6 linked regions of the Nothobranchius furzeri genome follow. The protein of the gene in region 4 binds, or shares a complex with, the protein of the main gene of each other region. Links are inferred from orthologs where the notes say so. Each region holds a gene or a part of one and is shown on either strand. Other genes may lie near its edges.

Region 1 (4,266 bases), about 15 Mb from region 4:
GGCTACCACTCAGGATGTGACTTCTGATGTTGATGTGCTGGTGAAAGCTAAAAGATGTTAAGTAAAATGAGTCAAATATACTTTAAAAGCTGCATGAAACTGATCTAGCCATGTGATCTGTAAGCTCGTTGAATCACTAAGGAATGTTTATTTATTTATGGATTTTTTTTCTTCTTTCAAATTTTCAAGTACACTTCAGGTATTTTACTTGTACTATTTTGGATACACTGTCCTCAGGCTACAGCCTTGTTTTATATTGATTGTATTAAAACAAAGAAAACCATCTGAAGTTTTTTTTAATTTACCGGTTCGGCCCACTTGGGACTAGATTTCCCTCAATGTGGCCCCTGAGCTAAAATGAGTTTGACACCCCTGGTTTACACGGTCAGCGATTAGTCTTCATGTCATGCACTGGGTACAGACAGCGGTTAGCTGACTTCCGAGGACTCGCGATAGGGAATGGTGGGTCGCTTAGGGACTATCAACAAATTTGTAGTCCTTTGTAAACGAGTACAAAATTGTTTTTAAACTTCCAGAATAATTTCCTAAATGACTCAAAATTACTTCTGACATGTGTTACTAAACTACATTTACAAGACACAACAGTTTTAACACATTTCACTCAATCTGATCTTTTTTATTAGGATTTTATTTCAAAATTAAGGGACTTATAGCGAGTCCTCGGAAATCAGCACATCGCTGTGCTCAGTGCACGGCATAAAGACTTATCGCTAACAGTGTAAACCAATGTCTGTCAAATATCCAACGTCCAAGTTCAAGCTAACTTTACCGCGGTATTTTTCTCCACTTACTTCGAACACACCAAGTGTGTGATAACGTCTCTATGCATGTAGCTCCGTTCGTACATGGCAGCTGATGGGAGGTTATCCAGGTAGACTCGCTCGTATTCTAGGACTGAAGAAATAACCGAACCAGAATTAGCGGGATTTACTGAAAAGTGGATTCGCGCAAACCATTGTGGTAAATTCAGTGTCATTAACCCACCTCTTCGTTTCTTTGTCTTTGATGCTTCATTTGGCATGGGTCCAACCCAGTCTGTACTTTCATCATTTCCATCTTCATCTTGAACATCATCAGCTTTTCGTTTTAACTCCAAACTGTTTTCAACCTCCGCCATTGCTGCACAGCGTCGTGTGGTCCTTTCGTAATTACGGCACTTCCGCTGCGCTCTGAATTTAATTTTGCTCCGTCAGAAACTTAGCGAAATTTATTAGAGATTGTAAATTTTTAAGTAATATTTTAGAATGCACCCTAAATTATAAAACTGGATTATATTTTCGTATTTTAAGTGTAATAGAAGCTTAATGCGGAACTTGTTATTATGCTTTGTTTCTATGGGCCTATTAACGCTGAACATCGTGTGGATTCAACCATTTTCACTTTTAGGGGCTGAGCCTGCGATTGTTTTTGATGTTATGTTGTCGTTAGCGGTTTAGCTGGTTGTTATGAACGTGAAAAAATATTTTCAAAATGAAAACATATAAACATCTTAAATAATTATCATAAACAGCAGAGTATACTAAATAAAAAAGAGTAGTACATCAGGATTCCCCCGTGTTCTCTGAAGTAAACACTGCACTAGCATGGCTGTTGGAGGATAAGTGTGAAATTTGCAACATTCGGGAAAAGTACAAGCAGTTATCAGGATTACTAACCGTTTATCTATTATACATTTTACGTGAGTTGAAGGTATAAAGGTGTTAAAGATTAGAATTTCGTTTTTTTTTCGAAGCACATAAGCAGATTCACCTTCAAAATGAGTAACATATATATCCAGGAACCTCCAACAAGTGGAAAGGTGAGTGCCTTCCTATCTTTTTATTTTGTCTGTATTTACATTAAGAACATGCAGTGTAGCTTTTCCTTGTAAAGTTTATACACATTTCGTTGAAACCAGCTAGTTGTTGATATGTTACCAGCTAGTTGTTGATATGTTGCTAGTAGGAGGTGAACGCGTGTGCCATAGAAGTAGCGGGATGGTAGGAGAAGTTAGCCTGGCAAGCGAGACAAAATAAATATATTATTTGCTTTGCAAACTTCTGTGCAAAAAAAAAAAAACTTTGCAAAGAAAGATTTTGGTCTAGTTCACTAGGCTAGGGAGAAGTAGTTTTATATGTAGATATGTTTTGCTGTGCTGCTTTTCAGGTGCTGATGAAGACCTCAGCAGGGGAAATTGACATCGAGCTGTGGTCCAAGGAGACTCCTAAAGCATGCAGGAACTTTGTGCAGCTGTGCATGGAAGGTAAGGTAGACCGTGCTGTTAAAAAACGGTCCGTGGAGGAAAAATCTGAAATTCAGAAGTTGTGGATGATGCATTCCAAAAAAATACAAGTATCCATATGTACATATTGATATTTACTGCAGTACAGATATCAGTGAACCTCATGTATGTTAAAGGGGGTATATTATCCATTCATCCATCCATCCATTTTCGGCTGCTTATCCGGGGTCGGGTTGTGGGTGCAGCAGTAGGCCCAGACTTCCCTCTCCCCAGCCACTAAGGCCAGCTTCTCCAGGGGAATCCTAGGGAGTTACCTGGCCAGGTGAATGACATTGTCCCTCCAGCATTTCCTGGGTCTTGCTTTAGGTCTTCTCCCGGTTGGACATGCCCGGAAAACCTCACCAGGGAGGTGTCCAGGAGGCATCTTAACTAGATCCTCCTCAACTGGTTCCTCTTGATGTGCAGGAGCAGCAGGTCTGCTCCGAGCCCCTCCCAGATGATCAAGCTCCTCACCCTATCTCTAAGGAAGAGCCCAGCCACCCTGCAGAGAAAACTCATTTAGGGCGCTTTTATCTCCAATCTCATTCTTTCGGTCACTACCCAAAGCTGAAAAGATAAAAACACTTAGTTTTAGTGTCAGTTCATGACCCAGCTCATCTTTCTCAAACAGGAAGCTACGTTTTTAAAACCTTTGTTTTGGCGTCAGACTCCGGCTGCAGGTCTCCTTTTCTCGTCTTCCAGCTAAACAGCGGAGCTGTCAGCTGGTCATTCATCCTTCTCCTCCTTTATACACAAGAACCCACTAAACTACAGAGAAGTAACAATCTGTCACAGATCGCTGCTATATAACTTTTGCCGTGAATTCTGTTTCAATGCTCCGCAGATCCGCTCCATGTGACAGCTCACACCCGCTGTCACAGAGCTTCCTCTGTCCACAATTTATCTGATGGTCTAAAAAAGGTAGTTTAATTATTTTAGTATAACTCTGGTTTAACTTGTTCTATTAACAGAAATAAAAACTGGTGGGTATTGAAACTGAAGCTCAGAGAGGCGGAGTCTTGCTGCTGCGGCGTCCCAAAAGGTGTGTTTTCATTGGTCGGTTGCAGACAGGAGTCCCAGGTTTTCAAGCATGCTTGAAGACTTTTTTAAGCTGATTTGGTCGTGAGACGGCTCAAAAAGTTGTCGCAGAGCCGGCCACACTGTATTTTTTTTTGTCACGATTCTGCTCAGGACTAGGAATTTGGCAAAGACAGCCGAAAATCATACAGTGTGATCTGGGCGTAAGGGTATAAAGCTGGTCCAGTAGGCACATTTTGTCAGAGTGGGCATGGGCGGAGTTTCACTGTCTCTCAGAGAGACGAGACGCTGGACGCTCTCCTGAGCCGACAACCCGCTCCTGCAGCTGTCGCTTCTGTCACGTTGGGCGAACCATCGGACACGCCACTCGTCACAGATGAAGCTGAACATTCACCTCTCCCTTCAGTAAGACAAGCAGTAAGTGTAGCAACACAGTGTTCTCCAAATATACAATATCTGAAAAAATGATTAAAGTTGTTTTACTGAATATCCTAATCATCTATGAAGCACACGACAGCTCTGGATGCTAAAATTCTCCTAAACAATTCATAATTGAATAAGTTTGACCACGCGACAGCTTACCGTTAACTTCTGCGGACAAAAATATGAGCTCTTAACAACAAACACTCTCCCTTTCGGTTCCCATGGAGACGCATTTGCAGCACACACACCACTGCTTTTGTCCTGCTCTCGCTTCATCCCGCCCTTCTTGCTCTTCATTTTGATGCTCGTTTTGTGAAACATAATCAGTGATGTCATCATTAATGTTTCGCTCTGGTTCAAATAGAAAAGGCTGAACAGACGACATGTCGATGTCGCTTAACAGTCACTACAGGGTCCCAAAGCCGGCCGGTGCAACCGAGGTACAACCGTATGACGTCACCACCCAGAGTGCATTGTGACGCTAACAACAATCGCGAACTACGAGTTAAACTATTTTTTACAAA
Region 2 (4,185 bases), on a different chromosome or scaffold from region 4:
CAGGTTGGAGGTAATTAAGGTTATTTAAGCAGTTCAGAGTTAATAAAGCGGTAGATATGATGTTTCACAAGTTGTTGCTAGAGTTATGTGAAATCTTACTTGTGATTTTACTATAAAACATAATAATAATCAACTTCTCCTTCATGTTTGCTCGGAGGTGTATAGAGCATCCTGTCCGCTCATTGGTCAGTGAATGAAACCTCCGTTGATTGGTCCTCGTCTGAGCGACAGCGATGAAAAGTTGAAAATGTTTCAACTTTCTGGGATCGCGTCGCTGGGTCGTCCGTGCACGACACGTGCACGAGTGCAAAATTTCACACGCACGTTTTTCGCGTTTCGCTTAGTAGGAGAGAGACCCCCGATTATCGCTTTGTCGCGCATGTCTCATTGAAAATGAATGGAGGAGAGGTGATGTCGCCTCCCGTGTGTTGAGCCCTTAACACTCATGCCTGATGATTTTCCTGTTGTGCCTCACTCATGTGTCTTTCTTCCTCTGTCCTCTCTCTTTTCTCCTCTTTTTCTGTCTCTCTTCCTCACAGCACTCCTGTCTTCTCTTCTGTCTGTACTAACAAAAATGTTGTCAATCTGTGGGACAGTGGGGGCGAGTGAGACTGCTGCACACACACAAAAAAAAAGACTGCTGCTTGCGTGGGCCCCCTTGTGGCTGTGGGCCCCTGGGCCTGTGCCCAGTTTGCCCATATTATAATCCGGCCTTGCCAAAAGCGCATCACGCACAGTGTGTGGGGTTTATGAAAAAAGCCAGATTATATTAATTATAGCATTAGCTACTGAACAACAAGCACACAAACAACACTTAAGTAATTAACTGGCGTTATTTCCCATCTGTATAATTTAAGCCGATGTGCTTTTTTCCGCTCTGGTTTGTGAGATGGGCAGCAGTTGTTGTTTTTTCCCTTGTCAGTGGCTCTATTCCCTTTTCCGTACAGAGTAGAAATAAATAAATAAAATGTAGGGCACAAAAAGTCTGGATCTCTTTGCTCTGTGTTTCTTCCAACAACTTCCGTTAATGGTACCCCTTCAATCCACACCTTTAGGGTTTGTCCGACTTACTTTGGTTGAGCTTGAGGCTGTCCTCTTAACCAAAACGGGATCGTCATATTTCAAGAGAGAATCGTCTAATTCAATCATCCTGACGCCTTTATGTACAGAAATAGCTGTTTATGTTGTCATGGTAACGTTCGGGCGTTTGCCGGAAAACAGAAAAAAAAAGATCTAAGCGCAATTTAAAAAAGAAAAATAGCTCAAATCCACTTGGAGTTGAATTTACGGCTTCATAAAAATATCTGTAGTTTTCATGATTTAATCCGTGTTATCTTTAAACGGAACGGAAGTCATCATAGCGGAACGTTTAGTTGAAAGCACATATACCACGTCGGAAGAAATTGTCAGCGCGCCAAACGGAAACGGAACGCAACTTTAGCAACCGTTTGGTGGGTTTTGCGTTTGTTTGCTTCTGTGGCTAACTATGCTTGCGTAGCCACAAAAAGTTGACGGATTTTGTTCAAAAATGGCCAAAGAGAAGCGACACAAGAGAAGAGATTCTCCCACGCGAGAGCCGGAAGTGAAAGTAAAACAGGAGAAATTGAGTCCGAGTAGGCCGCAGAAATCACGCCGCTCGAGGTCGAGATCCACAGACAACTCCAGTCCACAGAGGAGAAGAACCAGCAGGTAAACACGCGTTTGTCGCCCTTTGAGCACCACCAAGGTGATAATATTCAGATCTGATGTTCTTTATTTTCTAATAACTGAATTTAAATGTGACTTAAGTTGACACATCTTCAAAGGAAATGCTTTTTAGAAAAAAAAAGTTCAGATAATTTACGTTATTTCTTTATATCACAGTAAGTAGATTGTTATTAACACGTGTATTTACAACTATATCACGTTCAGCTTCAAGTGCCTATAGTACGTCAGTTAGATTATTAACCAAGCTCCTGTCTTACTCGAATGAGTACAAATCAAGAAACAATCAAAAGCATCTAAATATATAGTTTATATAGCTACATTTATTTAAATTTCTTATAATGTGTAGTAATATTCTAAAATCCAATGGCAATTAGCTAAAACATGCGTTTTAGCTAATCAAAACTTTATTAATTGGTATCAAAAACTAACATCTTAGATCCTCTACACACATTTTGGATATTTAATGCAAAGTCAAAGTATTGATTAATCTTGTTTAATTCCCACACCTGATCTCTTACAATCTCTAACACTGAAAGATGACTTTATTACTATTTTAGTTTGTAAATGCTGCCTAACTGATACGAGTGGCTTAAGAGTGTTTTCTCTTTTGTGCTCCTCACACAGGTCACCCGTGAGGACAAGAGACCGCTCACCAGGCAGAAGGGAGACCTCTCCTGTTAGACGAAACAGCAGATCTCCCAGAAACAAGAGAAATCACAGCCCTCATTGTAGCAGTGACTCTAGAATAAAGAGGGTGATTATAAAATTCTAAACTGAAACTGACTTGTCTCAACTTGTAGTCATGAAGGTTTTGTGTTTTTGTTTTAGGAGCGTGATGAGCATAGATCTAGCGGCGATGAGCGGAGGAGGAGGAACGAGCAGCCAGATGAAAGACGAAGCAGGTGGGAACATAACAGGTCCGGGGACCGGGATGGAGAGAGGCATCGTGAGCGAAACTCCCAAGTGACTCAGCAAGCTGAGCGGCGGCAGCACGATGAGCGGCGTAGGGAAAATCGGCGGCGGCGTGAAGAAAATCAAGAACAGGAGTTTGGACAAGCTGAGGGAGACGGCAGCGACTCGGGGGCACCGCCTGCTGATAAAGAGAAGCCCAACTTTGAATTGTCAGGGGCTCTCACAGAGGACACCAACACGTTCCGTGGGGTGGTGATCAAGTACAACGAGCCACAGGAAGCTCGAATTCCAAAGCGCAGGTGGCGATTGTACCCTTTCAAGAATGATGAACCCCTTCCTGTCATGTACATTCACAGACAGAGTGCCTATTTGTTGGGGCGGCAAAGAAAGATCGCTGATATCCCCATCGACCACCCATCCTGCTCCAAGCAACATGCAGTATTCCAATACAGGTATGTTGTATGTAAATGTTTTCACTGTGTGATTAATTAGATTTGTGGGGAAAATATACAACTAAGGATTCTGTTTATTCTGCAGGTTAGTGGAGTACACTCGAAAAGACGGCACCACTGGCCGCAGGGTAAGGCCTTATATCATCGACCTCGCTTCTGGCAACGGTACCTACCTGAACAACCAGCGGATCGAGTCTCAGCGCTACTACGAGCTCAAAGAAAAAGACGTTCTCAAGTTTGGCTTTAGCAGCCGCGAATACGTCCTATTGCACGAATTCTCCGACACGAGCGAAGTTGATGCAAAGCAGGAAGAAGAAGAAGACGAGGGTCTTGAGTAAATTACTCCCAATGTGTTTGTGCCTAAATTCATTTATGATGGATAAGACCAATGAGAATGTTAGAAAGTGGAGCGATGTATCTTGTGCGTGGGAATTCACACCACGTGGTTGGATTGTTATGTATATTGTGTAAATATTGAACTCTTGCTTAAACCTGCCACACCTGTCTCCAAGTAGACCTCCTTTCTCAGGATTAATGCATGGCTGATCTCATGTGTTATGTCAGGGTACATCATTGGAAAACCAACCTTATGTTTAGGAAAGCATTTCTTATTGACTTAATGAACATAAATACACAGAATATAATAATTGTATTTTTATTTTTTGCTTTTTTTTGTAGTGGAGGGGAAATACTTGATGCTATGTGTTTCTGCATCATTTATACAAAAACTTCCCTGTTTGATTTTGTCAGTTCAGGTGTATTGATAGTAAGAGTTCATTTTTCTACTGTAAATTAAAATATAGATTATTAAAAAAAATCTCTGTGATTGTTATTAAAGAGCAAGTAACGCCTAAATTAACTATTTTTTTTTGTGCTGATAACTTGCACAGATGAGTGTCTAATGGGGCTGTACACACGTGTAATCATTAATGTGGCAGTTTAGTAGCCTGGCAAGCCAGACTAAATAAATGTATTATTTACTTTGCAAAGCAAGAATTTGGTCTAGTTCACTAGGTTAGCAGTTTAGTGCGTCTTACTTAAAATTTGATACTTCAGCCCAAAACCATAATTATATCTCCATCTTTTGGTTAAAACCTCTGCTCCACATTTATGT
Region 3 (4,030 bases), on a different chromosome or scaffold from region 4:
TCTACAAACACAAGAACAGTGCTAATTCCTATATGTATTGTTTTCACATTGGTTATGACAGCCTCTAGGTGTAAATGTCATTTTTACTAATTGCTATTTATCTCTGTCTCACTAGTGAGAGGCAGCTGATGTCCTATGCCATGGAACTGCTCATATACTCGGAGAAAATCAGAAAAGCTCTGGACTCATCTGAATTTTTCAAGAGGTTGTAGCAATGTGTGGACATTTATTATTATTATTATTTTTTGGAAGGTATTTGTAAGGCCAATAAAAGCTGTTGCTGGTTGTTTCATTTGTCAGAACTTTTTTTTCTAAAGCCAAACTTTTCTGCTTTTGTGTTTACAGTATATTCTTTACAGATTAGTGTATGGTCAATATCAGTTTACTAGTCTTGTGAATTGTATACTTAATGCAAAATATTTTAGTAATTTCTAAATCAATACATTTTGTGTGAAAGGGCCAGCAATTATTCCTGTTAACAGAATATATGAAATGCATATATACACATGTAAATATGCCTAAAAATTACACAGCAGCAGCTTTTCACTGTAAAGAAGCAATAAAAAAATCACAGATAGTAACATAAATATTAACTACTCACTCGTATGAACTTAGACCTACTGTTAGTGCCTGTAATAACAAATGGTTGAAAGTTAAATGTTGCTGTAGGAGGCGTGCTCCCAAAAATGGGGGTCAGTGGGCTTAAGGGGTTAATTAAAACGATTACCACTAATTACTTTTTCTGATATTTTATTTTATTGCATTTAAAATAAACACTTGCACATACATTACTCACCTGCTAACGTCAGTAAGCATAGGTATGTTGTGCCTATTGTACGGCAACTGATTATTTGTTGGTGGTATCTGTGTTTTATAATCTCACTGGGGATGGCCATGAAGTGTGTATACAAGAAATAAAAATAATCTCACTGGGGATGGCCAAAAAAATCCATACATTCATATTTAAACCTGGAGTCCTGTCTGTTTAATTACATTATTACTATTTCTATATTTATTTTCTTTCAATTGTGTTGTTCGCTGGGAGGGCCGCCGTTATTGAGCTCGGGGGTATCTCAACAGGGGGGCGTGTTTTGTCGGGGTGGGTGGGGGGTGGGGGGTGTTTGGCCGGGGCTACGTCTGCAGCTAGGAGGGTTTCAGTCACGTGGTACAAAAAATTGAGTTTTTTACTCTCTCCCTTTGTGTAACTTCCGTTGCTATACCAACGTACCGGAAGTCGCAGAGCATTGTGGGTACTGTCATGGTGGCTGGAGCAGCAAACGGAACGTTTATGTGGCTTAAGCTTTGAAACAGTCGTTTCTTTGGGACCTTTTATTTTACAGAGAACGTCTGGTCCGACACACCGGCAGCATGGCCTCCACGGCGGCAGGGAAACAGCGGATACCGAAGGTGGCGAAGGTAAGCGGACCGGAGCGCGGAGCTAAGAGCGGCTAAGCTAATGCTAACGCATTACTGTTTAGCTGTAGTGACCCGTGAGTTCTGTTCTGATGGCCCGGGTCCAGAGACACGAGCTCCTGTCCTCCACCGGGAGCTCAGAGGCTGCTCCTGGATGTGTGGGAGCTTTGGTTCCCCCAGATGTTCCGGTCACCTGGGATCTCAGCATCACTGCTAAGGTCCAGTAGTTCTGCCATGCTGGACCTGAAGTGCCATTTATCAGCACAACCCTAGAATGTTTCAGCTCACTGGTTCTGGTCCGGCCCGGCTCATCGATCATAACCAGAAAAACAAAACAAAAAAAAAATTGTAAATTCAAAAACGATCAAATGTTCTGGTAAAACGCAGAAAGACTTTTTGGCCAATTCTGGTTTTAAAGAGTGTAAAATCGCACCGGACCCTGGTTCTGGTTCTAGGACAGGAGTGGTACCGAGGAGTGGTCCTGAAGCTTATTGTGTTGCTTTCCAGGTGAAGAACAAAGCTCCTGCTGAGGTCCAGATCACAGCTGAGCAGCTGCTGAGAGAGGCCAAGGAGAGGGAGCTGGAGCTTCTGCCTCCGCCACCCAAACAGAAGATCACCGATAAGGAGGAGCTGAACGACTACAAGCTGAGGAAGAGGAAGGTGATTTAGAGAGCGTAGCCTCCATGGGTGGGTTAGTCTAACAGGTAAACAACACGTCTGATGGGTACTGGTCTAACTGTGTTTCAGGCTTTTGAAGACAACATCAGGAAGAACCGGACCATCATCAGTAACTGGATTAAGTACGCTCAGTGGGAGGAAAGTCTGAAGGAGATCCAGAGGTATTTAGGTCATCACCACAGCTGGAACTAGAGGTTTAAGGTAACCTGGTTAGTTGTTTAAACACTGTTCATCTGGGTTCAGGGCCCGGTCCATTTATGAAAGAGCGCTGGACGTCGATCACCGCAATGTCACTTTGTGGCTGAAGTACGCCGAAATGGAGATGAAGAGCCGCCAGGTGAATCATGCTCGTAACATCTGGGACAGAGCTATCACCATCCTTCCACGGGTCAACCAGTTCTGGTAGGACTCTATAGCTTGGGGTTCTGTCAGAGCCTTCACGTGTGTGCTGGAACGTTTTTGATGTTCTGCTCAGGTACAAGTACACCTACATGGAGGAGATGCTGGGGAACGTGGCTGGCTGCAGGCAGGTGTTTGAACGCTGGATGGAGTGGGAACCCGAAGAACAGGCCTGGCACTCCTACATCAACTTTGAGCTGCGCTACAAGGAGGTGGACAAAGCCCGGACCATCTACGAGCACTATATCCTTTCTACTGGAGCCCAGTAGAACCTAGAATGGTGGGGTTAGAACACACGTTCCATAAAAACAACCGGAACAGGTCCAGTCAGACTCGAATTAAAACACCAAAGATCTGTGACCCGGTTCAGCTACAGATTCAGACCCATAATGCCTTAAACCTGATCCTACAGAGTACTGGAGAACATCTCTGTTCCTTCTGACCCGGTTTTTAACTAACCCTGGTTCTGGTGGTTGATGGGCTGCGCGTGGTTTTGAACAGACAGGAAGTTCTTTAACTCGTCTTCACTCGTCCTTGTTCACCCGGAGGTGAAGAACTGGATCAAATACGCTCGCTTCGAGGAGAAGCACGGATATGTGGCTCACAGCAGGAAGGTGTACGAGCGGGCTGTGGAGTTCTTCGGGGAGGAACACGTGGAGGAGAACCTGTTTGTGGCCTTTGCCAAGTTTGAGGAGACACAGAAGGAGGTGGGTGCTATCAGAACTTTGTTTATGGGTTTGTTTGGGTGGATTCTCTTACTTCTGTTCTTGTTCTGGACAGTTTGAGCGTGTTCGAGTCATCTACAAGTACGCACTGGACAGAATCCCCAAACATCAGGCCCAGGAGCTCTTCAAGAACTACACCATGTTTGAAAAGAAGTTTGGAGACCGGAGAGGAATCGAAGATGTGATCGTCAGCAAACGGAGGTTCCAGTACGAAGAGGAAGTGAAGGTACTTCACCTGTCTGGAGGTCAGAGATGAAGTCTGGTTCTGGGCTCAGGTGTGCAGAGGCAGGTGTTCTGCTGTGTGGCCCAAACTCAGCAACTTCTCGTCCTTCAGGCTAACCCACACAACTACGACGCCTGGTTTGATTACCTGCGGCTGGTGGAGAGCGATGCGGACGCCGACACGGTGAGAGAGGTTTACGAACGAGCCATTGCCAATGTGCCCCCCCTGCAGGAGAAGAGACACTGGAGGCGCTACATCTACCTGTGGATCAACTACGCTCTGTACGAGGAGCTGGAGACCAAGGTCAGTGGTCCTGCAGCGTTCCTGCAGAGGGCGCTGACGGACCGGTGTAACGGTGACATGTGTCGGCAGGACCCGGAGAGGACGAGGCAGGTTTACCAGGCTTGTCTGGAGCTGATCCCTCACAAGAAGGTCTTTAGAACTTCACCATGATGTAACCCCCCACCACCACCAGGCTGTGACGTGCTTTCTCTTCTCTTTCAGTTCACATTTGCTAAGATGTGGCTGCTTCATGCTCAGTTTGAAATCCGACAAAAGAATCTTCAGAACTCCAGAAAGATCATGGTGAGCT
Region 4 (4,272 bases):
ACTAGGATAAATATGCAGTAAAATGCTTTTCCGTGGGTAAATGTACAAATTTTACTTGCTAAAAGGTTACAATACACAATATAAATGAAAGAGGTGGGACTCAAAATTGAATAATACTACAAAAAAAGGGCTTCAATGGGGCAAAGCACAGCAAAGGTTCAGTCAAGAAGAGCAACACTGAGCTGAAATCTGTTTATTTCATACAAAATAAAAACAGTGATAAATTGTAGAGCAAAAGACTGCAAAGTAAACCAAAGCATAGTAAATCCAAAAGATGACATCAAACAATGAAATTTAAAACAAAATAAGTTATCGTCTCTTCTGGAAAATGTTGCCTCTCCCCATTCCACCACGACCTCGTCCTCTTGCAGCCACTGTTAAAAGTAAAAATAAAAAGTCAAACTCCAAAAAAAGGTATCTCTTTGGTCTGGAAGAAATGCCCCCCCACAAATCCCTATTTTCCCTACTCAAATATTTTGACTATGTTGGACTTCTACAAGAGAAGAAATTAGACAATACCATTAAACATTCCTTTGAAAAAGCCTTTTTTTCCCTTTATATTAGATAAAAAAGAATTGGGATCTGTCTTTCAAACCATTCCACCTCAGAAAATGTGAGAAGTGTCCACATAGAACACTGTTGTTACCTGTAAAAAAAAGTAATTAACAACTATTTAAGAGCCAAGCAGCTAAAGAGGGAACTAAACTCTAGCGCTGTCTCAGCATCTGGAGAAATTGTCCAAATGCTTCTCACTCACCTTGTGCTTTAAGAATAGCTGCCTTTCCTCTTCCTGCCCCAGAGCCTTGGTTCTTGTTCTTCATACTCTTTAACATCGGAGCATTCTTTAACATGTCCGGTAGGATCAAAAAGCGGATCTTGCTGCCGCGAATGTAGACCTGTTCCAACTGTGCAACCCGGCCATCGCGGTAGGTCACGGTGATGTTGGACATCTGTAGGGACAAATTCAAGTTTAGGTCCACAACAGGTGAAATGACCGTGTGAGCATCCATTAATCCAGTTCTGTTACTTATCTGGATCTTGGTGCACACAGGTTACCAAACTAGCATGGCTCAAATGTAAATTAACATTTCAGTTTATTCAACCCTTATAAAAATGTGTGCTGAAATAGAATCCAATTGAAGAGTGATGTTACTTTAGACTGTTTATTAAATTATGATGCAACAACAGAGTTAAATAACTGACTGAACTGGGTAAATCATGAAAGCTAAAGACCAACTTAAAATGAAAACCCAACATAAAAGCCTTTCTGATAAGAATGCTTTAATGAAACACTTTTACAAAAAAATAAAACTCTTCACACCAAGCATCCATGTACACCATTGTTTGGCCAAACGTTTTGCAATTTAGGGGAACACTAATCCCAAACACAAATTAGTTTACCAGTAATTACACAAACAAAAGCTTTTATGACTACATACCCCACAAAAAATCCACATTAACAGAACACCTTAAATGCCAAATTTACTGACCCAAGTTATTGTGAGTGCACAAAATAAAAATTAAATATTTTTTTTAATTTAACCCATTAAAAAGCTGCAAGAAAGGCAATTTGCAAGAGAAATAAAAACAAAATTTATTCAGGCAGCAGATGGGATTGAAACAAGCACTGACTGGATGTTTATGATCAACAGTATTTTGAAGGCTTTTCATTGACACTTTTCTTGACAATTAAAAATCACTGGAACCCTTTTAAACCATACTGCTAAACAAACCAACCTGGCAGTTCATATTGTCCTCTGCTTCTATCAGCTTGCCCCTGTACACCTCTCCAGTGTTGGTCTCACAGGTCACAATGTGACCCTCTGCCTCATGCAGGACCTTGATTGGTACACCGATGGACATGTTTCAAAGCTTTTCCTGGAACACAACACACAAAGCAAAAGATTATACGTGCTCACCCACAGAAATGTCTGCTCTTAAATATTGGCAACCCAAATCCATTTAACTTTATTGGTTAGCCGGGTTGCCCAGTTTCCAGCACTGAAATCTACAATCTGCATTACAACTAGTAGGAGAAGCAACAGAATAAGGCGAGTGAACTTTTTCATGACTGTGGATTAATACTAGTCACTGAAATTAAGACAAATAAGGAAAGACGCCCTGGGAAAACAGGTTTTGTGCAAAAAGCCATAACAAAAGAAGTGTTGTGAACCCGAACGCTACATTAATTGAAACTTTCATGTGGGACATAGTATTTAGACTTAACTAAAATGAAGGTGTTTTTATTATTTAGCATGAATTTACGCAGTAATACACTTTATAACATTACTAGAGAATAAACGATTTCGCTTGGGTATTCTCTTTTTTTAAGAGTCTGGTGGAGAATGTTTGATAGCATTCTAACCGCTAGCTCAGTTAGCCATACTAGCTAGCAAGGCTACAGGACAAATTTATCTAGAAACTACCATTAAACAATTCCAAACAGTAAATATGATTGGCCGTAAATGCTATTTACAGTTTACTACGATTAATAAGCATAGTTAAATACCTAAATATTTTACAGTAACATACGGAGTTTTGAAAATGCGCGTAACCTTAGCCATGCTACACATGAACGAAATAAATCGAAATTTCTAAATAACGAAAACCAATAGAAGAATGAGAACTCCGTTTCCTCAAACTAATTAATGTTACTCCTGTAACTTACCTTGACTTGTTCGTAAGAGTTATTTGCTTTATTGTTATTTCTTCTTGAACTGCAACGTGCGTTTGACGCTTTCGGGATCCTTTTGAGCCTTTTTTTCCGCCTGCAACGAAGGGTCACAACGAGTGTTTCCGGTGGCACCTACCGCGATGCATTGTGGGACACGTAGTTCAATAACGCCCATGGTTGAGGACTATTGAGTATGTACAGTCTATGGGACTATTATTTAGTGAAACTGACAAACTCAGCTTCTTATGTAGAATTATTTTTTTTATAAAGACTGAAACACATAAAATTAAATAAAATAAAAACTAAAATTATAAGAAACTATTTACATTTTAATCACGTTTCCTTAATTTATAATCTGTTTTTTACTTGTATTTGTTTTTAATTTTTTATGCTTGAGAAGCACCTCGCGATTTTTATCTTGGGGGCGCTATATAAAAGATTGTTTCATTCTTTCTTCTATAAATGTTGAGTTATGATGGAAATGAAAATTGATTTTCATTCTCCACAAGTAGAACATTGCATTTCTAAGAGGACTGAATATGTGTTTACGTACATCTGACTAAAGTTTAATGAATAAACTTGATTTCCATGATTTTGAAGGAAATCAGCTGTTGACTACATTTTCTGCATCGTCTAATGACGATGGGCAATTTATGCAGCTACACCAGACACTGAACTGTATTGTTTTAAAAAGCAAATGTTGATCCAGTAGCAGGATTGATTTGCATTTTCTTTCAGAAAAATAGAACAGTTTTGCATTACTTGTCATCTTGGCTCCAAGTTGACATTTACAGCTTTACATGGCTTTTCATAAAGCAGCTCAGTGTTAGGTACTTTTTAAATTCCCATGGAACATTGATCCATCATTGAATCACCCACAACAGTATTTTTATGATCTGTATCTCATGCAAATCAAAACAGCATTAGACATAAAAACAAAACATTAAAATGAACTAATTTTATCTATTTTTACAACACTGAGTATGGCCACAGTGTACTGCACAAATGATATGCAAAGAACTAGAATAAACATAAAGTACACATAATATACATACCCGTGTATGTTTGTTCCAGGAGATGTGTCTCGGGGATTGCTACGGGACACATAAAAGTGGCCTAATGCAGGTCTGTCCCACATTGAAAGAGCTTTTTAATGGGGAAAGAGAAGGCATAATGGGATAATAAAAGACATCATCAAATGAATCTTCATTTGATTTCCATTGCATTTGGCTCATTGACTGGCGTCAGCAGCCATGGCTGATCTGTAAACACCTTTCAGTGAGTAGTTTGTGGTTGGGCACTTTACGTGTGTGTGTGTGTGTGTGTGTGTGTGTGTGTGTGTGTGTGTGTGTGTGTGTGTGTGTGTGTGTGTGTGTGTGTGTGTGTGTGTGTGTGTGTGTGTGTGTGTGTGTGTGTGTGAGTGAGTGAGTGAGTGTGAGGAATCTTTTTATGATTTTGATGTGTGCAGGCCAGACCCTGAAAGTAGTGGTAGCATCACAGGTAGTAACAAAGTGGAAATAAGTCCTTTGGTTCAGCTGAAACGTAGCTGGTTTGTGTTCATTGGTGACTTCAGATCATAGGTTGACCTGGCAATGACA
Region 5 (4,150 bases), on a different chromosome or scaffold from region 4:
GACAAAACTCTAACATGAGACTGTGCTCTAACCTGTCACATAGCAAGCCTAATGCAGTCAAACATGTCAGATGGACCGTATGACAGCTGCTAACGTTGGCCCTGCCCTACTTTACCTCTACATTACAGTTCCTTTATCCATGTCCATCCTAGAGATCCTCTCTGACCTTCATGCTTATTTAGAGCAGCTGATTTTTAAAGCTAGCAGAGTTCATCCTTGGCAGTGGGTTCACTCACTCATTTAACCCTTCACCACTGAAATCAGTTTGTTCATTTCAATCCTCCTAAATAATCCTCCAATCATCCAACTGGAATCCTTAAGGGTCCCGTAACATCCATCCTGTCAGAACAGGCCTTGGGAGCCCAGGTGTTACTAGAACTAACGGTGTCTCCTCACCAGCGTGAGCCTCCAAACATGAACTTTAAATTCATGCATTTATCTCCTCTTGTAACACTTTAACATGTTTTAAAAGGCTTGTATCATGATAAGTTACACCTCCCAGACCAAAGATAAGATAAAACATTATCATAAACACTGCAGAGACGTCATTATTTATGAAATATATGTTATTTTCCTGAGCCGTTACTTCACCCAAGATATGAGATGCATGGATTTGATGAAACCACGCTGTCTCATGCAGTCCTATATGTGTAACACACACACACACACACACACACGCACGCCATGACTAATTTAACTACATTGAATTGCTTTAGTAATAATTTAATCTCTAATTCTGGAGTAAAATAAAGAAACAAGCTAAATCATCACATATCTGTGGCATCAAGGAGCAACTTCTGAGTTCAAACACAGGGATGGAGCACAATGTTTACACCTGAACAGTATCATGATGTTTTAACTCACAGAGGCCTGCAGCTCTTCTGTTTATGAGCAAAGCGCTGATAATCCGCTTGTTATGAGCACTAAACAGTATTTTGCCGCTGCCGTGCGGAGCGGTAGGGAAACACATTTCAAACACGGAACCGAGTCTCGCTACCGAACCGAGCAGAATTCTGATGATGTCACACTGGTGCGCGAAGGTGCAGGTTCCAACCACAGGAGAGGAGGGAGAGAGGTGATAAACAGCGAGTTGATCGACTGAACTGATGATGTCTTTGAGCAAAAGTGTACACCCCCACACACCCCCGGTTTAGATGCGGTCCTCATGCAGGTGTCTCTTTCCGTTCTGACGCTGCTTCACGTAATATTTTTAATTTATTAAGCCTATAATTTATTTTTACTCAGTAACGGATATGATTTAAAATGTAGCGAATTACAATTCTTTTTAAAAAACTTACTCAAGTAAAAGTACAGATTTTAAAAATGACTTAAAAAGTATAAATATACAAAAAAGCTACTCAATTACAGTAACGTGAGTAAATGTAATTCATTACTTTCCACCTCTGTCGGATGCTCGAGCATCAGGAAGCAGAAAAGGAAAGACAATAGAAAATGTTTAAAGGGAGGAAAACGTAGACCAAAATGAAAAATAAATTTAAAAAAGGCAAAAGCTCAGGAGCACTGACAGGAAGAAGAAAGCAGAGCAAATATTGGAGGCACTCAAAGGGAGAGAAAGACATGAATAAAGAGGAGGACTAATAAAAAGGGAAAATAACTCATGGCAGAAGAGGGGAGAGTTTTGTAAATCCAATTAAAAGTAAGATTGCCGAAATTTATTTTAAGGGGGCCCCATGTCTGTGCTCGCCTTGGGCCCCAAATTGCTAAATGCGCCACTGATAGGGCTATAGTGTGTTTCATTTCTGTACCCAATATTTTGTCTTTAGGGTTGTAGCTCTGACATCACCTACTCACACGTTTAAACAACTTTCCAGATCAATGTTTGATGATAACATTTGGAGGAATTTGAATAAAAAAAACGTCACCGCTCGACCCTCCGCGCCCCTTCCTGCGCGATGATTCGGCGTATGATTAGTCTTGACTTGTCTCCGGTGTTTTGGTGCGGTGCGGTTTGATGCTCTTTCCGTTTTATTTTTTTACACAGCGGCGCAAATAGACAACCGTTGGAGGGATTTACCGATTTTTCTGCTGGACAGATAGAGACCGAGTCCGGGACGAAGCATGTCCACCGCGCTGGAGAGCTACATCAACCGTATCTTGCTGCTAGCATGCTAACTGCATGCTTAAGAAGTGCTAGTTAGCTTAGCGCGCTAGCTTCGATGTTTATGTAATTTGTTGTTGTTTAGGTGGAGTTTAGAGACGGTAAAAGCTAAAGCGACAAAAAAACTACTCATTTTTATTTAGAACTGAATGAACATACCTGGAATAACTTTTACGTAGCAGTTCAATTTCAAATCAGTGTTTGCATAAAAAAAAATCACTGATAGAATTTTATATGATCAGATGGCGTCAAAACGTAGATATTAACGGTTCTGATCTGCGTTAGTTCGGTTTCACGGGTTGTGAATAAAATATATTTAGTTTGTTTCTGATTTAAGATGTCGGGTTATTTAACTGAAGCACACCCATCGTTGTTGTTCGGGTGAAAACGGAGAAGCTAGACGTAATTTACTGATGAGTTGTGCACAGATGATGTTTCCTTGACTCCAGCTGATCCAGGAACTGTTGCCATCGTCACCTCAGACGGGAGGATGATCGTGGTGAGTTCACGTTTTCAGCTCAGCTGGACAGCAGAGAAGATGATACGGTTCTGGTGTTTAGATGTTTGAGGCTCCAGCACAAGGATTTCCCCTCCACCTGAACCGAAGCCTCATTTAAACCGGTGTCGGTCACAGGGGATTTAGTTTTTCCCTCGACTGTAAATCCAGAAATCTAGTCCTGTTCCCATCACTACAGATGCTGACAGACACGTTTTTACTTTTATGGTCAGATTTTTACTGTTTTGGGGCATAAAACTGCAGATAACTGAAAATCATTTTGAAATAAAAGTTCAAGTGTAATCTGAACTATTAGTATTTTATTAGCCTGGTTGTTTTAAGTATGATTCATTGTAGCTCAACACCACCAGCGTGTTGATGAATAATAATATTAAGTTGCTTTGGAATCCTCTGACTGAAAGGTGCTGTACTTATTTATTTATATTTATTTATTTATCATTTGGGTGTTCAGGGCACTTTGAAGGGCTTTGATCAGACCATCAACCTGATCCTGGATGAGAGCCACGAGCGCGTGTTCAGCTCCAACCAGGGGGTGGAGCAGGTGGTGCTGGGCCTCTACATCGTTAGAGGAGACAACGTGTGAGTCACCTCGGTCAAACTAAAACTAAATGAGAAATGATGACCCCTAAGGACGTCCCGGTGCACGGGGAGCTCGGCTGCTCCTCGGACAGCTTCTAACCGTTTCTCGTGTTTCTGCTCCAGCGCCGTGATCGGGGAGATTGATGAGGAGACCGACTCCACGCTGGATTTAGGGAACATCAGAGCTGAGCCGCTCAACTCTGTTGTACACTGACCTTTGAACCCTGCTGTCTCCATGGCAACCCATCACAGTACAGCTCAGTTCTGTTGCTGTCGTGTTCTGGGAGGCGTGATGAGTGGTGAAGCTGCAGAACCTCGATTGTTCTGTTTCTGTTTGTATTTTTTATAAATAACATGTTGGATTTGTTTTCTACTTCATGTTTTTGTCAGTCTGAGATCATTTTAATAAAGTCTGATTTGTTAAGCTGTTTATAATGAAGTCCTCCGGTCTCTAAACATCCAGACTCTGGAGCAGAACAAGAAAACAACACATAAACAATGAAACTTTAATAAAATATGTGGAAAAACAAGATCGTTGCCAAAGAAACATTAAATAGCGCCAACTCTACGGCTTTGTTCAAACAGCTCATGGTCTCTATTTTAGTTCTGATATCTTTAGTCATGAATGAGTAATTATTTCTCCATCTGGAAGAAGAATGAGGATCTGTCCTGTTCTCATTTGTCTAGCATCGATTAATCGGGGCTGCCTATGGACAATCGTTAGCATTGACTGCCGATGCTCGCTTGGATTAGAGGCGATTGAATCCACTTGAGAATCGTTCGTGGAGCCGGGAGAGGAGGGGAGCGCTTTGTCAAGCAGGAATTTATCAGGAGAGCCCCGATGTTCAAGGTTCAAGGTTGTCTTTATTAATCCCCAAGGGGGAAATTGAATTGCCTTGGACAAGTAAACACAACATGCACATCCACACAATAAA
Region 6 (4,025 bases), on a different chromosome or scaffold from region 4:
TTATGAAGTTAAAATTTATATCTCAGACTTGATACACCTTAATGACAAAATACAAGTCCTGATACTTTGGTTTTAATTCAACCCTGATAAAAAAAAAAATCGTTTATCCAGTAATATTTTTCTCCCACTGTTTCTGTTTGGCTTAGGGGTTTAGTCTGTTTTTCCCAGATAGTAAGTACATTTTATTTATATAACACCCATCACAGACAGTAATCACAAAGATAAAAAAAACAAGACAAATTAAAGATGATTCGAGTTAAAAATAAGGCTATTTATGTAGATGGTGGTTAATTCTGCTCCCGCTTGACCAACACGAGTGTCAAAATTTAAAAGCGTGGTTCCTGCTCAGCTGAACTTCCATCCAGTCTTATAATTTACTGATTTACTGGATGACTGTAATGTCTGATGGCCTGTAAAGCATCAGTCGTCTGCAAAAAGTTCATATGTTCAGTCACTTCCTGTCTGTTGCTGCTTCTTCTTCTCCACCAGCTCTTTCTGTTTCTCCCTCCTCTCCAGGACTTCCATCATCCTGGCATAGTTGCGTTCTCGCTCCTGGGCCTTGAGCTCAACCACGTCTTCAAGGAACCTGTGTCTGCATAAACGACAAGCAAATATGTTTACGATTTGCTGCTAACTCATAGTATTTAATATTTTTGCTTCAGTCTCCAATGACAGTTTCACCGTCACACCGGTGTTACAGTGAAATGTGTTGTGCGTGTGTTTCTTTTACGCAGTTAGCAAAGCTCAGTTTCACCTGTTAATGAAAATAGTGGCGAGTCCAACCAGCAGAGTTCCGAACAAAATGGGTTTGGCGAGGCGCTTTCTCGCGGACAGCCGGTGGTGATTCATTGTTGCTGTTTTACTTAAATAAACAAAGCGACATAGCGTTTTTGTTAAGCTGACCTCCCGCAACGTGCGTTATGTGCTGTTGTACGAGCACATAAACACAAACACACCTTCTGCTCCTTAACTTCCGCTCAGCTGCCGGTGTTGTATCAATCTCTGTACACCATTTAAAATGTGTTTCCTCATCGGCTCGCGTAGCTCTCGCGTATTTCATTGCACAATTGTGACAGCAATGCTAGCATTTATAACGTTATAGGCGAGTTTATAGCAACGATGTTACGATTTCGTGTAGCTAAAAATGCGTTACTCTTTAAATCATGCGAAAGTGAACGGGGAACACATCTTCACGGACAAACAAGTTTTGATAAAACAGCGGAACAAATATCTACTTGCGCAGTTTTTCCGAACACTTATGAGCCGCGGACCCATACGTGAAATGAAAACAACCTCTGAATCAGCTATGAACGGTCAAGTAACTTAAACATCAGCATAATCTGATATCTGTGTGAATTTTATTTGAAGTGTTAAATGTGTTTTTGCTAAAAGATGAAGAGAAATGAGTCAGCTGAAGCGCCTGAACGGTTTGAATATTTACAGACGCTGGTTACTGAATTTCAGGACACTGACAGTGAAGGTAGGAATAACCTTTGATCTGTGTTCTACAAAGTTAAAATAAAAACCGTTTTAAAACGAACACGTAGACTCTCAACACCCTCAGTTTAGATGCATGCTATTATTTATTAGTGATGGGAATGGCTCAGCTCACCAGAAAGAGCCGGCTCTTTCGGCTCCCAAATGGCTCCTCAGATTTTCTGTTTCGTAGAGTACATTTATAACCAAAATAATGCAAAACTATATGTAAAATTATTTACTAATGTAAAAAAAAATGCAATATATCAAATATTTATAATTTCTATGGATTTAATAACTGAACACTTTAAGAAATTGTCACTTTCCGACTGCTGGCGCTCATTTTCTCACCGTCTTCATCACACTCTCCTCTCTATCTCGCTCACCTTTTTCCTCCTCATTCCCTCTCGTCTACCTCCACCTGCATGTGCTCTGCTGTGTGTCTGAGTCTGATTCTCCCTCTTCCCCGTCCCTACTGCTCTGTGTGTGGACAGTCTGGTCACACAGTTACACATGTTGACCAATCGCCTGTAGCGTTCACCAAAGCAAGAGGGGAGGGGGGAGGGGAGGGGACGGCTCCCAATGATGAGCCGGCTCCCGTTGTTCACTTCAAAGAGCCGACTCTTAGAGCCGGTTCGTTCGGACTGACACATCACTATTATTTATATCGTTAGAGGGCTTTTTCAGAAGCCGTTGTTCAGTCGAAAACTGTACTCTCCATCAGTATATTTATTTGAAGTGAGAGAAAAAAAATCGTCAAAAGAACATTTGTATATATGTTAGACCAGTTTTTATCCATTGCAATAGGAGAAAGGCTGACTATCAGCATTAGAATTGTGTTCAGAAGACAAAAAGATCACAAATACATGCAAATGACTTCATGAAGTTAAAATTTTTCGAAAAAGAATCTGTAAACATGACTAAATCAGGTAGAAGTGAACAAATACATCAAATAAGCTGTAATTCTAAGCAGCGTTTTAAGTTTTATTCTGAAAGTGTATCGTTGTGACATGAAATAAATGTAAGCTTAGTATTTGGAAACCAAAAAGTGACGTTATTTAACCAAATTCTGATTGTTCATTCTACATGTTAGTTCACTTTGAGATTACTGCCATAAGTAAACATTTTCTGTTGGATTTTACCGCAGAAAGCTGCTTGTTTTTATTTTTAAAAAAACGGTGTTAAAAATAAGTAGCCAGATAATGTGATGAATTAAATAATGCGCTAGTTCCACATCCATCCATCCAGTTGTAAATATCTACACTGGCTGCCATTAAACTATAGAAACGATTACTAAGTGCTACTGCTAGTTTATAAATGAGGCCAAAATACATGTTGGATCTCCTTCCTGTATATATACACCCAGCAGGGCTCTGAGATCCTTAGGAAACAGTCAGCTGGTAGAACCTCGGGTCAGAACCAAACAGGGTGAAGCTGCTTTTAGCTACTATGCTGCTCACAGATGGAATCAGCTTCTTTATGACCTGAAATGTGCCCCAACTCTAGTAACTTTTAAGTCAAAATGGAAGACTTTCATGCATTCATCAGCCTTTGAAGGATTATTTCTCATGCTGTACCTTCTGCGCTCAGTCTTTAACTTTGTCTTTTATTTTATTTCTTACATTTAATTTTATTAGAGTATTTAAAATTTGAATTTAAAAGCTGCTGTTTTACGTCGTCACGTTGATTTTAATCTTTTATGATCATGCTGGTCATGCACCTGGAAAGTACATTGAATAGCTTCAGTGTATGAAATGTGCTACACAAATAAAGCTGCCTCGCCTTTCTAGTTTACAGACAAATCTTATTTTTATACTGTCAGCTCCACATTTGAGCCTGAAGGGTGTTTTGATGTGAAAGTAAAAAGCGCCCCCTGTGGTATAAATGTGTACTGTTTCTGTGCTGCAGCCTCTGTTTATCATTGTTTGTAATGAGCTGGTGTAAGGTGAATTAGTGGATGTAGGTATCTCTGTTTGTTTCATTACTTTTTCTCTTTATCAGAGGCAAAGGAGCAGGTTCTGGCAAATCTAGCCAACTTTGCATATGACCCAAAGAACATGGAGTACCTGAGGGAGCTGCAGGTTCCTGACCTGTTCCTGGACATGTTGACCGAAGAGAATGAGAACTTTGTGGAGTTTGGGATGGGTGAGCATCTCTCCAACTAAAACAGTAAATCATGTTTGTTTATGTAAAAATCATCTAAACTCAAATATTGTGTTGACAGGGGGTCTGTGTAACCTCAGTATGGACCCTGGATGCAGAGACATCATCTTGGAGAACGATGGGATCAGCTTGATCACAAACCACCTGTCAAACCGGAGGGAGGAGACGGTGCTGTCTGCCGTCACCACCCTGATGAACCTCACCACACCAGCGACCTGCTCTCAGATCACAGAGCCAGGGATCGTTCAGTGCATGCTGCGCTTCTCACTCGCAGAGAGCCCCCGTCTGCGCAACCTGGCCTCGGTCTTCCTGCAGGACTGCTGCAGCCAGGAGCAGGTGAGACAGGCTGAGCTGCAGATGCAGGGGGTGCAGACGGCCATCGGGAT

The links. Proteins that work in one complex are often made in the same cells at the same time.
Region 1: snrpd3l (region 4) and cwc27 share a complex: the UniProt entries of both Homo sapiens proteins name them as parts of the minor spliceosome. The link is inferred for Nothobranchius furzeri from reciprocal best matches to the Homo sapiens genes SNRPD3 and CWC27.
Region 2: snrpd3l (region 4) and snip1 share a complex: the UniProt entries of both Homo sapiens proteins name them as parts of the minor spliceosome. The link is inferred for Nothobranchius furzeri from reciprocal best matches to the Homo sapiens genes SNRPD3 and SNIP1.
Region 3: snrpd3l (region 4) and crnkl1 share a complex: the UniProt entries of both Homo sapiens proteins name them as parts of the minor spliceosome. The link is inferred for Nothobranchius furzeri from reciprocal best matches to the Homo sapiens genes SNRPD3 and CRNKL1.
Region 5: snrpd3l (region 4) and lsm8 share a complex: the UniProt entries of both Homo sapiens proteins name them as parts of the U4/U6-U5 tri-snRNP complex. The link is inferred for Nothobranchius furzeri from reciprocal best matches to the Homo sapiens genes SNRPD3 and LSM8.
Region 6: snrpd3l (region 4) and armc7 share a complex: the UniProt entries of both Homo sapiens proteins name them as parts of the minor spliceosome. The link is inferred for Nothobranchius furzeri from reciprocal best matches to the Homo sapiens genes SNRPD3 and ARMC7.

What each region holds. Positions count from the first base shown.
Region 1 is NC_091746.1:63,257,101-63,261,366, reverse strand, and holds the start of cwc27 (spliceosome-associated protein CWC27 homolog), read left to right. Parts: upstream 1-1,466; 5' UTR 1,467-1,777; coding exon 1,778-1,819; intron 1,820-2,166; coding exon 2,167-2,263; intron 2,264-4,266. Other genes in the region: ppwd1 (peptidylprolyl isomerase domain and WD repeat-containing protein 1), read right to left, coding at 813-915, 1,006-1,138. UniProt on the Homo sapiens protein: As part of the spliceosome, plays a role in pre-mRNA splicing. Probable inactive PPIase with no peptidyl-prolyl cis-trans isomerase activity. As a component of the minor spliceosome, involved in the splicing of U12-type introns in pre-mRNAs.
Region 2 is NC_091745.1:70,706,758-70,710,942, forward strand, and holds snip1 (smad nuclear-interacting protein 1), read left to right. Parts: upstream 1-1,385; 5' UTR 1,386-1,528; coding exon 1,529-1,689; intron 1,690-2,331; coding exon 2,332-2,461; intron 2,462-2,535; coding exon 2,536-3,071; intron 3,072-3,156; coding exon 3,157-3,409; 3' UTR 3,410-3,888; downstream 3,889-4,185. Other genes in the region: dnali1 (axonemal dynein light intermediate polypeptide 1), read right to left, coding at 1,072-1,149. UniProt on the Homo sapiens protein: Required for pre-mRNA splicing as component of the spliceosome. As a component of the minor spliceosome, involved in the splicing of U12-type introns in pre-mRNAs. Down-regulates NF-kappa-B signaling by competing with RELA for CREBBP/EP300 binding.
Region 3 is NC_091742.1:17,433,302-17,437,331, reverse strand, and holds the start of crnkl1 (crooked neck-like protein 1), read left to right. Parts: upstream 1-1,230; 5' UTR 1,231-1,368; coding exon 1,369-1,416; intron 1,417-1,920; coding exon 1,921-2,073; intron 2,074-2,160; coding exon 2,161-2,252; intron 2,253-2,334; coding exon 2,335-2,493; intron 2,494-2,566; coding exon 2,567-2,733; intron 2,734-3,018; coding exon 3,019-3,197; intron 3,198-3,270; coding exon 3,271-3,441; intron 3,442-3,549; coding exon 3,550-3,741; intron 3,742-3,810; coding exon 3,811-3,870; intron 3,871-3,942; coding exon 3,943-4,023; intron 4,024-4,030. UniProt on the Homo sapiens protein: Involved in pre-mRNA splicing process. As a component of the minor spliceosome, involved in the splicing of U12-type introns in pre-mRNAs.
Region 4 is NC_091746.1:48,714,707-48,718,978, reverse strand, and holds snrpd3l (small nuclear ribonucleoprotein D3 polypeptide, like), read right to left. Parts: upstream 2,801-4,272; 5' UTR 2,669-2,800; intron 1,879-2,668; 5' UTR 1,864-1,878; coding exon 1,738-1,863; intron 951-1,737; coding exon 758-950; intron 375-757; coding exon 310-374; 3' UTR 179-309; downstream 1-178. UniProt on the Homo sapiens protein: Plays a role in pre-mRNA splicing as a core component of the spliceosomal U1, U2, U4 and U5 small nuclear ribonucleoproteins (snRNPs), the building blocks of the spliceosome.
Region 5 is NC_091741.1:34,219,555-34,223,704, reverse strand, and holds lsm8 (LSM8 homolog, U6 small nuclear RNA associated), read left to right. Parts: upstream 1-1,454; 5' UTR 1,455-2,079; coding exon 2,080-2,110; intron 2,111-2,577; coding exon 2,578-2,618; intron 2,619-3,087; coding exon 3,088-3,215; intron 3,216-3,338; coding exon 3,339-3,429; 3' UTR 3,430-3,650; downstream 3,651-4,150. UniProt on the Homo sapiens protein: Plays a role in pre-mRNA splicing as component of the U4/U6-U5 tri-snRNP complex that is involved in spliceosome assembly, and as component of the precatalytic spliceosome (spliceosome B complex).
Region 6 is NC_091756.1:50,515,213-50,519,237, forward strand, and holds the start of armc7 (armadillo repeat-containing protein 7), read left to right. Parts: upstream 1-1,225; 5' UTR 1,226-1,258; coding exon 1,259-1,318; intron 1,319-1,392; coding exon 1,393-1,480; intron 1,481-3,477; coding exon 3,478-3,621; intron 3,622-3,700; coding exon 3,701-4,025. UniProt on the Homo sapiens protein: As a component of the minor spliceosome, involved in the splicing of U12-type introns in pre-mRNAs.